2 linked regions of the Neodiprion lecontei genome follow. The protein of the gene in region 2 binds, or shares a complex with, the protein of the main gene of each other region. Links are inferred from orthologs where the notes say so. Each region holds a gene or a part of one and is shown on either strand. Other genes may lie near its edges.

Region 1 (6,889 bases), about 13 Mb from region 2:
ATTCTTGATTTTTGAATGGCAGTTGTCAAAACTGGTGTTATCAGCCAAGCAAAAGGATCAGCCTACATAGAGGTTGGAATTACAAAAGTGGTATGTTCAGTATTTGACCCGAGGGAAATTCCAAACAAGAATGAATACAGTTTACAAGGTGAACTCTTTTGCGAGTTTAAATACGCCCCATTTGCCTGTGCAAAGAGACGAATACACCAGCAAGATGCGGAGGAAAAGGAATTCAGTCTCGTTATGCAACGATCACTAGAACCAGCTGTTTGCAGGGTATTTATTATTTACCATTAACGAGACGAGTATCAGCTACTTTTGTAAATTAGAAAAAATAGTTTCAGTATGTAAATATTCAGGAATGTAAATATTAATTAACAACCTCTATATATGAAATGGACAAAGGAAATCAATGATTTTTATAAAATTTTGGGCTCCATAAAATACGTTCAAATTATTAAGCGTACCAAAATAGGCAAATGAATACTATGCTAAAAAAATTTTTCTTCAAAGACATTTCAGTTTTATTTTCACAACTGTTTTAATTCATAAAGTGTTAGCAATTCAACTCTGTATTTGTTAGTTGATGCACAATTCACCTTTCACAGCAAGAGTTCCCAAATTTTCAAGTCGACGTGTATGCTCTGGTCCTCGACAACGGTGGCTCCTCTTTAGCAGCAGCCATAATGTGTGCCAGTCTTGCATTAGCAGATGCAAGTGTCCCCATGTTTGGTCTGGTTACTGCAGTTTCCGCAGTAAGTGAAGTAAAGGCAGTAGATGCTCGTGAAACCTCCACAGGCCAACTCAATTTGAAATATCTTCGTAAAATCTTTCACAATAGAAACATCTTCATTCATAATGAACTATTGTCAAACTGCATTCTTCACATGGATATGAGTCTCTTGAAAATTTCAATTATAGTGTTACAGAAGTGCAGATAGACGGAAAACTGTAATAAAAATAACAGCTGTTGAGATATTTATGTTCCTTAAACTGTTAACGAACTTCTCATTTTCAGGGGTTCTATAAAGATACAATGTTTTTGGATCTGACAGTGGAGGAAGAGGTACTTTGTAATTCTGCACCAGCAAAGCCAAACCCACCCAATAACCATGGACTGATCATGCAAGCTGCTTTACCGCAACATGACCAGATTTCAGAGTTTTTTCTCGTTGGAAGCATTAACATAGATTGCATAAAACAAGCTATCGAAACCCTCACTGTAGCTAATAAGAATATATGTCCAGTTGTTCAGCAATGTTTAGTCAAAACTGTCCTCAGAGCTTTAAAGCGAAAGGAACAGGAAAAAAATTAAATAAAAACATGATTAGAAATGAATGAACCTTGAAATTTTCCATTGATTAGTTTGACAAGGAGAGCATGATGTACATAAAAATTTATACATTCATTTGAGTTGATAAGAATTGGTTTATTTATATTTTTAGAGTAACAGAAAAAATCAGTTCGCAGCTTATTTTTTATAGATAGGATTAATCTTCTGGTTTTTCTGGAGGTGGGCCACAAGGCTGCAGCATTTTCTCCATCAGATTAAATCTGACGCGTGCCTTGGCTTCGTTTTCAGCTAGCGCAAAAAAATTTAGAAGGTCGTAATGCCCCATGTAAGAGCTACATGAATCTCTGTGCTGATTAACCAACCATTCAAATTTCGTTGTGTCTGCATGACCTGTCCCAATGTACTTGGATTGAAGATGTTCCAGCTGACTATGGATATTGTAACGTTCCCCCATTCCTAAATTGAACAATAACAAAATGCGTGATACATAACCTCGAAATTATAGGTTAGCGCTATTAATGGGACGCAATATTCCATAAATTCATTTATCACCGTCTGTCGTATGGCCGAATGTACTCTTGCAATATGTAATGTCAGTTATACTTCACAATATTAACAATTACTAAAATAGTGAAAAATTTCACTTGATATACTTTTCTACTTACTTTTGACAACGCTCTTGATAAGTTTCTAGTACACTTCTTGGTCTCTCTTATAAATGATTAACGAGATCAGTTTTCTAATGTATGTACAAGATTAACTACTTGGTTTTCACAAAAGTTTTGTTGATGTATGTATGCAGGTCCAGATGCCGAGTCCGTATTTTTATCAGTTTTGACACAAAACTAGACAGATATTGTCGAACGTTACAAATCACGCTTCGTCTTGAAACCATAGACTTATAAAGATAGACTAAGCGCTCCTAGAAGAGGCACTGACAATCACATATAAGGGACAGAGATATATCAGGACTACTGCTCTCACTTTTCAATTGGCGTCATGGTGGAAGACAACGGAGCAGTGGAAGTGGAACAGCTGTAGATATAGGCGCATAATTTCGCCTCATTCTCCTCTATCGCCTCGATCCCAGCCCCAAATATCGTCAGAGAGAGAAGGGAGTCTCCCGGCATATTTCTGTCCTTTAAATGTTTGCTTCAAGCGGCTCATAAGACCGCTCAGTCTATCTTTATAAGTCTATGCTTAAAACTGATGATGCACAGATAGTGGTCAAGCTGACCGCATTCAACCTATCTCTCTCACTCCGGATTGATCTTTGGCATACCTGCAACCAATGCCACTTCGGTAGAAAAACTACACTAGCAACGCTAGTAGTACAGAAAATAACCCTAATGTGTACAATTACTGAAGACAAGTTTTGTCCGTCTTGTGTTGGGTGTTTGGTCAGTTCCCTGACACACGCTGCTAAAAGTGGTTCGCAAAATGTCCCTCGATTCTGCCGCCAATCTCCACCACTAGTGGCGCTAGTAGTTGTCTGAAAAGCGTGCGCGCGGTCTACGAAGGCAGCGAGGGTGTCAGAAGTTTACTAGCGCCACGTAGGGGAACTAAAAAACGGGGACAAAACGCATACAATTTTTTAGTATACGAGCAGTGGCGAGTGTCAGGGGGCTGGTGTTTGGCTCTATTTGCGACCTGAAAAAAAAAGGAAAATGATCATCATTCTCACAATGTCCACCACCGCTGTAGGTTAGCTGGTGACGTTAAGATCTTGGCCGTGTTCGTAAATTGACTAACAGTACTCAAAATTCCCTAGGACAGAGTCAGAGCTATTCACGAACTGGGAAGCGCAAAAGAGATGAAAGATTGCTGACAGTACTGTCAGTCAATTTTCGAACACGGCCCTTATCTTACTCATCCTCACAGACGCATAAGGCCCCTGGCGGATTTCCGTCGTACTAAGACAAAATAATCACAGTAACCGAGGGCCAGTTGGACCACCTCTTATTCTTACACCGTGCCCCCCTCCCCCCCCCCCCCCTCCCCCGCCGCCAATCTAACCTATCCTGAGCTAACCTAACCCATCCTCTTGTACAGAATTATTGTTGATACCTTAACCGAAAATGGTGTCTGTTGAAAAATGAGTACAGGATCTCCCTAACTTCGGAATAGCTCATATATTAGAAGAATGAATTTGTGATATTAAATTTAAGTATGTGATTTTGTATGAATGTGTCGGCGAAGTATTAGATTATCAATATAACAGGGTAACGACACTGCACTTTCGCAAATCAACATTACTTGGTCATCAAAGTAATGTGCTAACTGGCCTTAGTTACCAAGTTCACTCGATTATCAAGATTGCACATAGTGGCAAATTATAAAATTTGTATTAAATTGAAATTTACATAAACATCCACGATGGATCAAATGCTCCCGAGTCCGGGATTCAGCATCCCGAGTATCGGCACACCGTTACATCAACCTGAAGAGGATCAACAAATATTGCCGAATGCGCTACAACAACAACAACAAGTCCAACAAAATCAACTACAGCAAATGCATCCGATGGGTTCAAACGTACACGGAATGCCAATGTTGGGTACACCGCACAAAACTATGCACACTTATGCTCCGGCATTCGCAACGCCGCAAAGTCTTATGCAGCCACAAACACCGGTAAACACTATCTATTATTTCACTCGCTTTTTCACCAACTAATGTTATAAAAGTTCTTAACCACTTAAGGATGATGTTTTGCTATTATTTTTTCATAGCAAAATATGATGTCGCCTATGGTTCAACCAGCAAGTCAAATAGCTCCCCCTTCAATCGGACCGTCAACTCCAGGCCCGATGACACCAATGACGCCTGCTTCCGCTGATCCTGGAATTCTACCCCAGCTTCAGTATGTTCCCATTGGCTACTGAATGTCTGTTACTATTTGTTAAATTCCTAATTATTCCTTAGGAACATTGTGTCAACGGTGAATCTCAACTGCAAGCTTAACTTGAAGGAAATTGCGCTACATGCTAGAAACGCCGAGTATAATCCGAAACGATTTGCAGCAGTTATAATGAGGATAAGAGAACCCAGAACTACCGCCTTGATATTCAGCAGCGGAAAAATGGTATGTACCGGCGCTAAAAGTGAAGAGGACTCTCGCCTGGCTGCAAGAAAATATGCACGTATCATACAGAAGCTTGGATTTCCAGTGAGTACTTGTATGTTGTCAAATTTCATATGATGAGATCCGTTTCCTGTACGAAACTTATTAAATTTTTATTAGGCTAAATTTCTGGATTTCAAAATTCAAAATATGGTTGGAAGCTGCGATGTCAAATTCCCCATCAGATTAGAAGGACTTGTATTAACGCACGGCCAATTCTCTTCGTATGAACCAGAACTATTCCCTGGCTTGATATATCGAATGGTTAAACCCCGTATCGTGTTGCTTATATTTGTTTCTGGCAAAGTTGTATTGACTGGTGAGTAATTAATCAAGAAAATCCAATGAAATATTCACAGCTTTTCGCTTGATATGAAATTATTTCTGATATTTCCGATAAATCCTTCACATTTGTCCTGCTAATAAGTTACCATTTGTCCCCAAATAGAGATTACAGTTTGCTGATCATTGTGAATACATGAGCAGTGCTTTCCAATTATTTCATGTCCAGTAATTGTAGTAATACATACCGATAATAATATTCTTGTTACCAACAGGTGCAAAAGTACGGCAAGAAATTTATGAAGCTTTCGATAACATATATCCAATTCTGAAGAGTTTTAAGAAGCAGTGATTCCCAACTGAATCTGACGATATTTTTGATACCCCGATGAAAGAATAGTCTTCTAAAATCTTTTTATTAATGCTGCTATTTGCAGAGGTGTACAGAACGACGAGTGTTCGTTATTTGTTAAAAAAGAATAACTGAAATAGCAACTACTGAAAATGTTACTGTACAAGACAATTGACATGAAGTACTATCGGTTTTTTGCGAGCACTTATATATTCTTACAGGCTGACAGGTGCCTTATGCCGCAAAGCCGTTATCTTTTATGAACAATTCTTAGATTAAGCTGTTGATTCTGGGCTTTGCCGTTAAGTAATGAAAAATAAAGTTAGTGTACCAAGTATTTTACGAATCTACTATTCCAAACCTCCCAGTAAATCAAATTTAACAAATGTGTGAAATTCAAATACACTGTAAAGGAATCAACTATGAGCACAGTTTTTTGAGAAAAGAATATGTGTTATACATAGCAGTGAATACGACATGTATTTACTGTTTCACTGCGTAGCGAGAGTTTATGAAGTAGAACTAACGGTTTCTTCTGTAAATGTTGTCTGAGTCATAGAGTTATCCAGCCTTTTTCTTATTGCTGCGACATTTTCTTTTTTTTTTTTCCTTTCAAGATGATTATTCTTTCGAATCAGATTCTGATATCTTCTGTGTTGATTCTATGATGTAGGAATAAAAATTAGATTTCATGTACCATACATCACCCGTAATAGAGAGCTGTTTAGAACAGAATTAAATTTACCTCTTTTTTCTTGAGATTCCTGTCTAGTTAACTCTACTGTTGGCAGCGAAGGTTGAGTCTCTTCGATATATAGCTCTGTAGTTTGTTCTAGAAGCTCGCTCTCTTCATGTTTTACTGCAACTGTTGGTTCTGGGTGTTCAAGTTCATCGGCCTTAGGTATTAACAAAGAAAATAATGATTGACGTTAAATTTCAGCTTTGGTCATCCAATCAAACAGGATGCATTTCGAATTCGAATAATTAAATATCTTACCGATACCTGGGATTGCATAATCAGTTGAGAAATATCTGTGAACACCTTGGTTGCATGTTCTCGTATATCCTGTTTCTCATCATCGCTAGTATTGTCTGGCAGATTGCTCAAGAGGTGATTTGTTGCAGCAGTTACTCCGTCTTCTTCTGCCAACAATTCAACTAACAAATCTTGAAGAATAGTAATATCTATCCCAGTTTCTTTGTCTATTCCAATATCATCGAGCAATTTCTTTACAAGTCGCTGCGGTTCTTCTTGGTCTATCCTTACTATCTTTGTCTCAGTGTCCAATCTTTGAATTGATGCATAAGTGGGTGAAAAATTATTAATTTATAAAAGTCCCTCGAATAAATGACTATTGTGATTAACTAACCGAAATACAATTTCGTTAATTATCTCCCGGATGGCTTGACACATTGCTTCAACATTTTCCGGGTCATCTTGTTGTGGCAGTGACGCAATAATGTTTTCAATACTTCGTTCAATTCCAGCACGCAATTCCTCTCTACTGCCGCCGATTGGCAAGTTAGACACCACCTCTCGCAATATGTCCCATTCCACACTCTCCTCTTCATCTCCTAACGAGGCCTGAATTATTCGTGAGAGCAAGTGGTGTACCTACAAAATAACGTTGGTGAATCCAATCTTTGAGTTTCGTTATTATTATTTCCTCTTATTTTTAGCACTTAGAAATCTCGTCCAGCATATGTAGCACCAAATACGTATAACAGTGCCAACAAACCATTGTCGACGTATTATTGTCGCACTCATCCATCGGCTGCAGCTGCATGTTGTCCTCATCATTTTCTTTTTTGTCATACATTTCTTCTGTTGTCGTCT
Region 2 (7,188 bases):
CACCCTCGTCGGTACTGAGTACTTCATTCGACGACAAGACACGATTCTGCAGGTCGAATATTCTTTGACACTCTTCTTTGTACCTTTCCTGGTGCTCAGCTATAGAGAATCTATTACCTCTTGAAAACTTTGTCATACCCTCTTCTCCTGCTTTCGCTTTTTCCGTCGACAAAGTTCGCACAACGTCAATTACCTCCCACCGTGAAAGTTTTTTAATTTCTTCTTCAGGCACACCAAACTTTCGTAGTAAAGCCTTTGCATTGTTCAACGAAAGCCTACGCAAATCTGCATCTGTGCCAGTAACTGTTCTCTTTGGCTGTGCTTCCTGCTCTTCCTAAACAGCAATGAGAAATTATTATTATCATTTTGTTTAACTTCCCCACAAAAAATGTTCGCATCGTACTTACTTTGCTGATTGTCGGTTTGTTTGGCACTCTTACATAAGAAAAGCCTTCCCCACAGCCTGTAGGATCGGCTGGACCAGCCAACTGTAATAAACATTTCCCTCTCATCGCTTGAATATAGGCACGTGTTGTGTTCCAGGGTGCAACTTTGACTTCATCATCCATTTTCAACTGCATTTCTTCATCGTCGTCATCCTGAGGTGTGAACAAAAACTTTTCACCATACCCAGCATCTTTAAGTCTCTGTTCGGCTGCGATCATACTAAAATAGGCGCAACACTGCTCCGGAGAAACCATAGCTCTGATTTCTTCCTCAGTCGGCAGTCTGAAGTCTGGCTTGATTACCCACCAATTTGAGTCCATTCCTAGTTTAAAAAACGAAGGTAACAAATCACAAATTTTTTAATAATACTATTCTTTGCAGAATTTGATAGAAATATGTAAGGAAATTTTACGAGGCTGATACAGAGTGAAATGTACCTGTTCTTTTAAAATCAGCGCAAAGCTTCAGTCTCTTTCTTATACTGCTTTCACTATGCGATGGGAATGCTTTTTTAATATCATCCATTTTGATTCGCCTAGGAGTGTCACGAGATTTCCAGAATAATCTATATATGAAAACTTGCAAGAAATCTCTTACAAAGTTGTTTGCTCGTTTGGAATTTGGACCAGGAACTTCATACAACGGACACTCTTGTCCAGCAATAAATAAGGCATCTATTTCCCTCACGAAATATTGCTGTCTGAAAAATGGGCAATGTTTAGACCAGTGATTAGAGTGATTCTATTTCTACAACAACCTTTGAAGCAGCTGTACCTTGTCCTTATTATCAAGAAATCAGTCTCTGGACCATTGTGTTCATAAATCGGGGCCCTGTACATGTTATTTTCAATAGCCTGAATACTTTGGCCAGGTGTTAAGATGCCCAAAAATGGGCTGGTGTGCGCATAAGCGACCTCTCCATATTTGTAACGCATAGGCCCTTGATCCTTTCCAGCTCTTCGTTTGTAGTAATTCTTGACTTTGGAGCACATTCCAACTTGATTCATCAGAGGTGGATGTTCCTCAGAAAACTCAATGAGAACAATTTCCCCATCTCTTCCAGTCAAATCTTCAGGTGTCCTCATGAAGAAGACATCTCCACCTCCCGAGGCAATTCTCTCCTGTTCTCTTTGCTTAGCTTTCTTCTTGATGTGCTTGAGGAGAGGCAACACGTGGTGGGGACCAGTGTGAGACAGAGGTCCGTGACTGTACCTCTTTAACGGAGGTCTATGGAAATTCCTCAGTCTCATAGGTCCCATGTGTGTCTGTACGAAAGGTGCTCGCAATTCTACGACCGGTGTGCTATGCTGTATTAAATTGCCACCGCCAACTTTTAATCGTAATGTTGTTTCCGAAGAGCGAGGCATGTAGTAAGAGTCATTTGATATGTTGAATGGATCTCTATCGGGAGACTTTGGAGGTGGAGGCGGAGCATCCTCTTCAAGAACGTTGATAACTCCTGCTTTACCCAGCAAAAGTTTGCTTTTTTTCACATGAGGGTGTGGGATTTTTACCTTAGGTTGAGGCCCATTGTCTTTATGAAGAAGAGCTGGGTCTATGTCATCCGGTATTCCCAATACAATGTTTTCATCGTTTGGATCTAGGGTGAGAATCTTTGGTTTCGGTATTTTCGTCATGTGCTCAGCATCCCAGATAACTTCCTCTTCCCAGAGTCCGTAAACTAACTCCTCATTCTCCACAGGGAAAATAGAGTACCAAGTATCGTCATAGTTTTCTTCACGCTGTTGCTGCTGGCTGCCTTTACCCATCGATGCAAGTTTACTCTTAGACTGCATGTGCAGAGGAGTCGCTATTTGCGATGTAGCAAGTCGAACGTTAGGTGCTACAGGAACAGGAGTTCCTTTTCCTGGCTGGCTGAAGGCCTGAGCAGTTCTGTTACTGCTCGAAGGTACCCAACCAGCAGCATTATTCTTGCTATTTAATTTTTGCATCACTTTATGTTTTATATCATCACCATTCCACACGACATCATCCTCCCAATGCAGTTGAGACACCATAAGAAAGGAATCGTCTGGAAATGTATCCTCATCTTTTGACTTGCAGACTTCTTCAGTTTTCTCCGCAAGTTTGAACCCATAATTAAAGCCGTCACCAGTCTCTGGGACTTCCAACATGTCATACCAAATTTGGGCTGGACCGAAGCGCCAGTCTGCAACTTTTGGACCCATGTCATTGCTGTCTCCCATGTCGCCAGTTTTACCAGTTTGTTCCTTGTCTTCGACGGGAAGCAATAACTTTTCTTCATCATCTGGGATACATTCATCTGGCGATGGAGTCGGTGCGTAATGCATTTTCCACCCCTGTTGGAAGATTGACTTAAATTCTCAAATTTGTGATATTTCTCACAGCTTTTAAAACATTTTCTAATGTCAAAATTGCTTAGTAGAAGAGTACCTAACTACATTTTCAGCTAATTAAAAGCTTTTCAATATTTATTGTACCTTGAACTTAGGTTTCCTCTCGTCGTGATCAGATCCCGAGTCTGAATCCTTCGGATCGTGGTGTTTCTTCTTTTTCCGCCGTTTTCGAACACCCCGCCAAATTTGCGGAAGGCTGCTAGGTTTGCCAGGGCCAAAAAGTCGCGAGAACCTAAGGACCTTATTGGGGCGAAAATCAGGAAACAATTCCGTAACGTTGATATTTGCATATTTGGAAGGCAGCATGGAAGCCAAGGGCGTTTCAAGCTTACGCTGGCGAGCAGCTTCTGCCTCTTCAGGGGTCAGAGCTTCTTTTTCATCTGGAATGGGCGGAGGAGGCATTAACTGAGTGTCAGATTTATTGACTCCCTCCTCATCATCTGCATCGTAGTCACTGGCTGCCCTATCCTGTTTCTTGGAGGACGCTTCTGCATCATCTTCGTTTATGTCTTCAGCTAATTCGTTAATATCAGAGAAATCCAACGCTGTTGGAGATTTTTCTAGATAGTTGACATCGTCAGACTCGGATTTGACACGTGTTTTATTTTCATCTTCATTTTCTCCTTTCTCATTTTCTTTTTCATTCTGTTCCTCATTGTCTAGAGCAATCATTTCCTGCAGTAAACTGCTAAGGCCGAGGCGACCCAGGGAAGCCAAATGGCGCTTCGCCTCGGAATCTAATATATCATCCTCCAACTGACCATCTTCATCAATGTTGCCAAATAAAAATCCAGTCATATTCATTTCCAGATCCATGTCTCTGTCGTTTTCCTCGTCTGAGTCAACCATTTTCAGCAGATACAAATGAGTGTGTTTTTGAGAAACGGTGGCTTTGAATCAGTAAAGATTAACTATTTTGAGGTTAGATGGTTGGCTTTACAAGCGGGGATTACTATCCTGTATTGATACATTAATTTAGTTTTTTAGTTTTTAATCGTATTTTACGAATATTAATTTCGCACCTATAACGTCTTGTCAATGTGTACGTAATAAATTGAACTTGGGAAATCAAAAGCTCACCCCTTGTTTAGCAACATTACTCGCAATCATATCCCGTTTTTAAAGCGTTGTCTAGTTTACGCTAGTTTTTTTAGAGTGTTGGCGCCATCTGATGCAAAACAGATTCTTAGAACTAATTTTCATTTGCAGACGCATGCTGATAAGCCACTGTGATAAGCGAAATAGATTTACCATCGCAGTAGGGTAAATGCAGTGAATAATAAACTATGATGATGAGGCTGGATTTTCACGGGCGTGAAGTTGACGCAAAAACACCATGCCGTTGGTGGCAAAAGGTCGCGAGCACGGTCTTATAAACAGGTTTGGGCACTCCAATTCCCTTCCTATATAACGCAGCGTGACCGACTTGAAGCCTGTGTTTCTCAATTTGTGCACCAAAGACCGGAGCGCTGCAATCTCCGAGGCAGGTGTATGCGTATTAAGTAGGCCTCTCCCTCACTAGCGCTAGCGGCAAAAATTCACAACATCGGCTTCATTTTCGAGCACGGTTTTACAGCCGGAGTACACAGACCGATCATAAAGACCGTGGTCGCTAGTGAAAATAGATACGACGAAACGGTGAAATGCCACGAGTTTTGAACTAGGTAGTTGAGACAGTGGTTCTCAGTTGCGTTTTTATCCCAAGGATTTAAAAATCTAGAATTTTTGATTGGCAGTGGAAAAAACGGAATAAATGGGGGAACGAAAAGGAAATCACATAAAATGTAGCGATTTTTCAAGGTGAGAAAAAAATCTAATTGATTCTCATGCTTCCACAACCATGAATTCGTGCATGATTGAGACGCCGCCTATTCATACGCTTATTACCGCATAGCCCATACTGAAAATGATGGAGGGTGTCCAGGGCGTTTCATCAAAACAATGAATAATAATATGAAATGGCAACAATACTTGACTCGCTTAAATGCATTACATGCATTACCATTCTACAATAAATAGAGTAATTGGAATATTATCTTATACCTCGAATAGCTATTATACTCATACAGCTGATAAACAAACTCTATAGAATACGCTGCGAGCTACGGTACATATCGATAGTTGCAGCCGAAGAACGTTCCACGCTCTTCTGAGTGCGTTTTCTGCATTCCAGGGGTCCAATTAGTCAAGAAATGGTCACACAAAATGGTTCTGAGACGAAAGATTTTTCGCTGAAAAATAAAGTATAAAGGCTATATCTTTGCATTTTTGGCGAAAATTATCGCGATTTTGAAAAGTGCTGGAATAAATTCTTTCATGCACTATTCCGACGTAATTTTGCGAGAGAAACCGATTGGGCGCAGTCCCGATACGCTGCGAGCAACAGATCAAAAGTTAGAGCCGAAAAACGAGAACCTGTGTTTTCGACATTTTTCAGCAGGTGCTTTCTCCTTCGTAATTTCTCTCCTGTTGATCCCACGCTCTTTTCGCTGCATTTTCTGAGTTCCTGGCGGTCCAATTAGGCAGGAAATGGTCGTACAAATCGAATCTGAGACCAAAAATTTTCGGCTCCAAAAATGAAGAAAAAGTAAGGCTAACCCCTTTGCATTTTTGGCGAAAATCTTCGCGATTTTGAAAAGTGCTGGAATAAATTCTTTCGTGCACTATTCCGACGTAATTTTGCGAGAGAAATCGACTGGGCGCAGTCCCGATACGCTGCGAGCAACAGATCAAAAGTTACAGCCAAAAAACCAGAACCTGTGTTTTCGACGTTTTTCAGCGGGTGCTTTTTCCTTCGGAATTTCTCTCCTGTTGATCCCACGGTCTTTTCGCTGCAGTTTCTGAGTTCCTGGCGGTCCAATTAGGCAGGAAATGGTCGTACAAATCGAATCTGAGACCAAAAATTTTCGGCTCCAAAAATGAAGAAAAAGTAAGGCTAACCCCTTTGCATTTTTGGCGAAAATCTTCGCGATTTTGAAAAGTGCTGGAATAAATTCTTTCGTGCACTATTCCGACGTAATTTTGCGAGAGAAATCGACTGGGCGCAGTCCCGATACGCTGCGAGCAACAGATCAAAAGTTACAGCCAAAAAACCAGAACCTGTGTTTTCGACGTTTTTCAGCGGGTGCTTTTTCCTTCGGAATTTCTCTCCTGTTGATCCCACGGTCTTTTCGCTGCAGTTTCTGAGTTCCTGGCGGTCCAATTAGGCAGGAAATGGTCGTACAAATCGAATCTGAGACCAAAAATTTTCGGCTCCAAAAATGAAGAAAAAGTAAGGCTAACCCCTTTGCATTTTTGGCGAAAATCTTCGCGATTTTGAAAAGTGCTGGAATAAATTCTTTCGTACACTATTCCGACGTAATTTTGCGAGAGAAATCGACTGGGTGCAGTCCCGATACGCTGCGAGCAACAGATAAAAAGTTAGAGCCGAAAAACGAGAACCTGTGTTTTCGACATTTTTCAGCAGGTGCTTTCTCCTTCGTAATTTCTCTCCTGTTGATCCCACGCTCTTTTGGCTGCGTTTTCTGAGTTCCTGGCGGTCCAATTAGTCAGGAGAAGGTCATACAAATCGAATCTGAGACCAAAAATTTTCGGCTCCAAAAATGAAGAAAAAGTAAGGCTAACCCCTTTGCATTTTTGGCGAAAATCTTCGCGATTTTGAAAAGTGCTGGAATAAATTCTTTCGTACACTATTCCGACGTAATTTTGCGAGAGAAATCGACTGGGCGCAGTCCCGATACGCTGCGAGCAACAGATCAAAAGTTACAGCCAAAAAACCAGAACCTGTGTTTTCGACGTTTCTCAGCGGGTGCTTTTTCCTTCGGAATTTCTCTCCTGTTGATCCCACGGTCTTTTCGCTGCAGTTTCTGAGTTCCTGGCGGTCCAATTAGGCAGGAAATGGTCGTACAAATCGAATCTGAGACCAAAAATTTTCGGCTCCAAAAATGAAGAAAAAGTAAGGCTAACCCCTTTGCATTTTTGGCGAAAATCTTCGCGATTTTGAAAAGTGCTGGAATAAATTCTTTCGTACACTATTCCGACGTAATTTTGCGAGAGAAATCGACTGGGTGCAGTCCCGATACGCTGCGAGCAACAGATCAAAAGTTACAGCCAAAAAACCAGAACCTGTGTTTTCGACGTTTTTCAGCGGGTGCTTTTTCCTTCGGAATTTCTCTCCTGTTGATCCCACGCTCTTTTCGCTGCGTTTTCTGAGTTCCTGGCGGTCCAATTAGTCAGGAGAAGGTCATACAAATCGAATCTGAGACCAAAAATTTTCGGCTCCAAAAATGAAGAAAAAGTAAGGCTAACCCTTTGCATTTTTGGCGAAAATCTTCGCGATTTTGAAAAGTGCTGGAATAAATTC

Evidence for each region.
Region 1: transcription initiation factor TFIID subunit 1 (region 2) and TATA-box-binding protein share a complex: the UniProt entries of both Caenorhabditis elegans proteins name them as parts of the TFIID basal transcription factor complex. The link is inferred for Neodiprion lecontei from reciprocal best matches to the Caenorhabditis elegans genes taf-1 and tbp-1.

The regions. Positions count from the first base shown.
Region 1 is NC_060261.1:14,534,580-14,541,468, reverse strand, and holds TATA-box-binding protein, read left to right. Parts: upstream 1-3,308; 5' UTR 3,309-3,670; coding exon 3,671-3,928; intron 3,929-4,026; coding exon 4,027-4,157; intron 4,158-4,219; coding exon 4,220-4,463; intron 4,464-4,538; coding exon 4,539-4,737; intron 4,738-4,975; coding exon 4,976-5,052; 3' UTR 5,053-5,389; downstream 5,390-6,889. Other genes in the region: exosome complex component MTR3, read left to right, coding at 23-276, 609-755, 1,019-1,315; splicing factor 3B subunit 5, read right to left, coding at 1,491-1,748; cilia- and flagella-associated protein 44, read right to left, coding at 5,674-5,714, 5,798-5,948, 6,050-6,341, 6,423-6,667, 6,792-6,889. UniProt on the Caenorhabditis elegans protein: The TFIID basal transcription factor complex plays a major role in the initiation of RNA polymerase II (Pol II)-dependent transcription.
Region 2 is NC_060261.1:1,233,235-1,240,422, forward strand, and holds the start of transcription initiation factor TFIID subunit 1, read right to left. Parts: upstream 4,160-7,188; 5' UTR 3,906-4,159; exon of another isoform or gene 3,783-3,905; 5' UTR 3,675-3,782; coding exon 2,910-3,674; intron 2,769-2,909; coding exon 1,222-2,768; intron 1,148-1,221; coding exon 885-1,147; intron 770-884; coding exon 408-769; intron 335-407; coding exon 1-334. UniProt on the Caenorhabditis elegans protein: The TFIID basal transcription factor complex plays a major role in the initiation of RNA polymerase II (Pol II)-dependent transcription.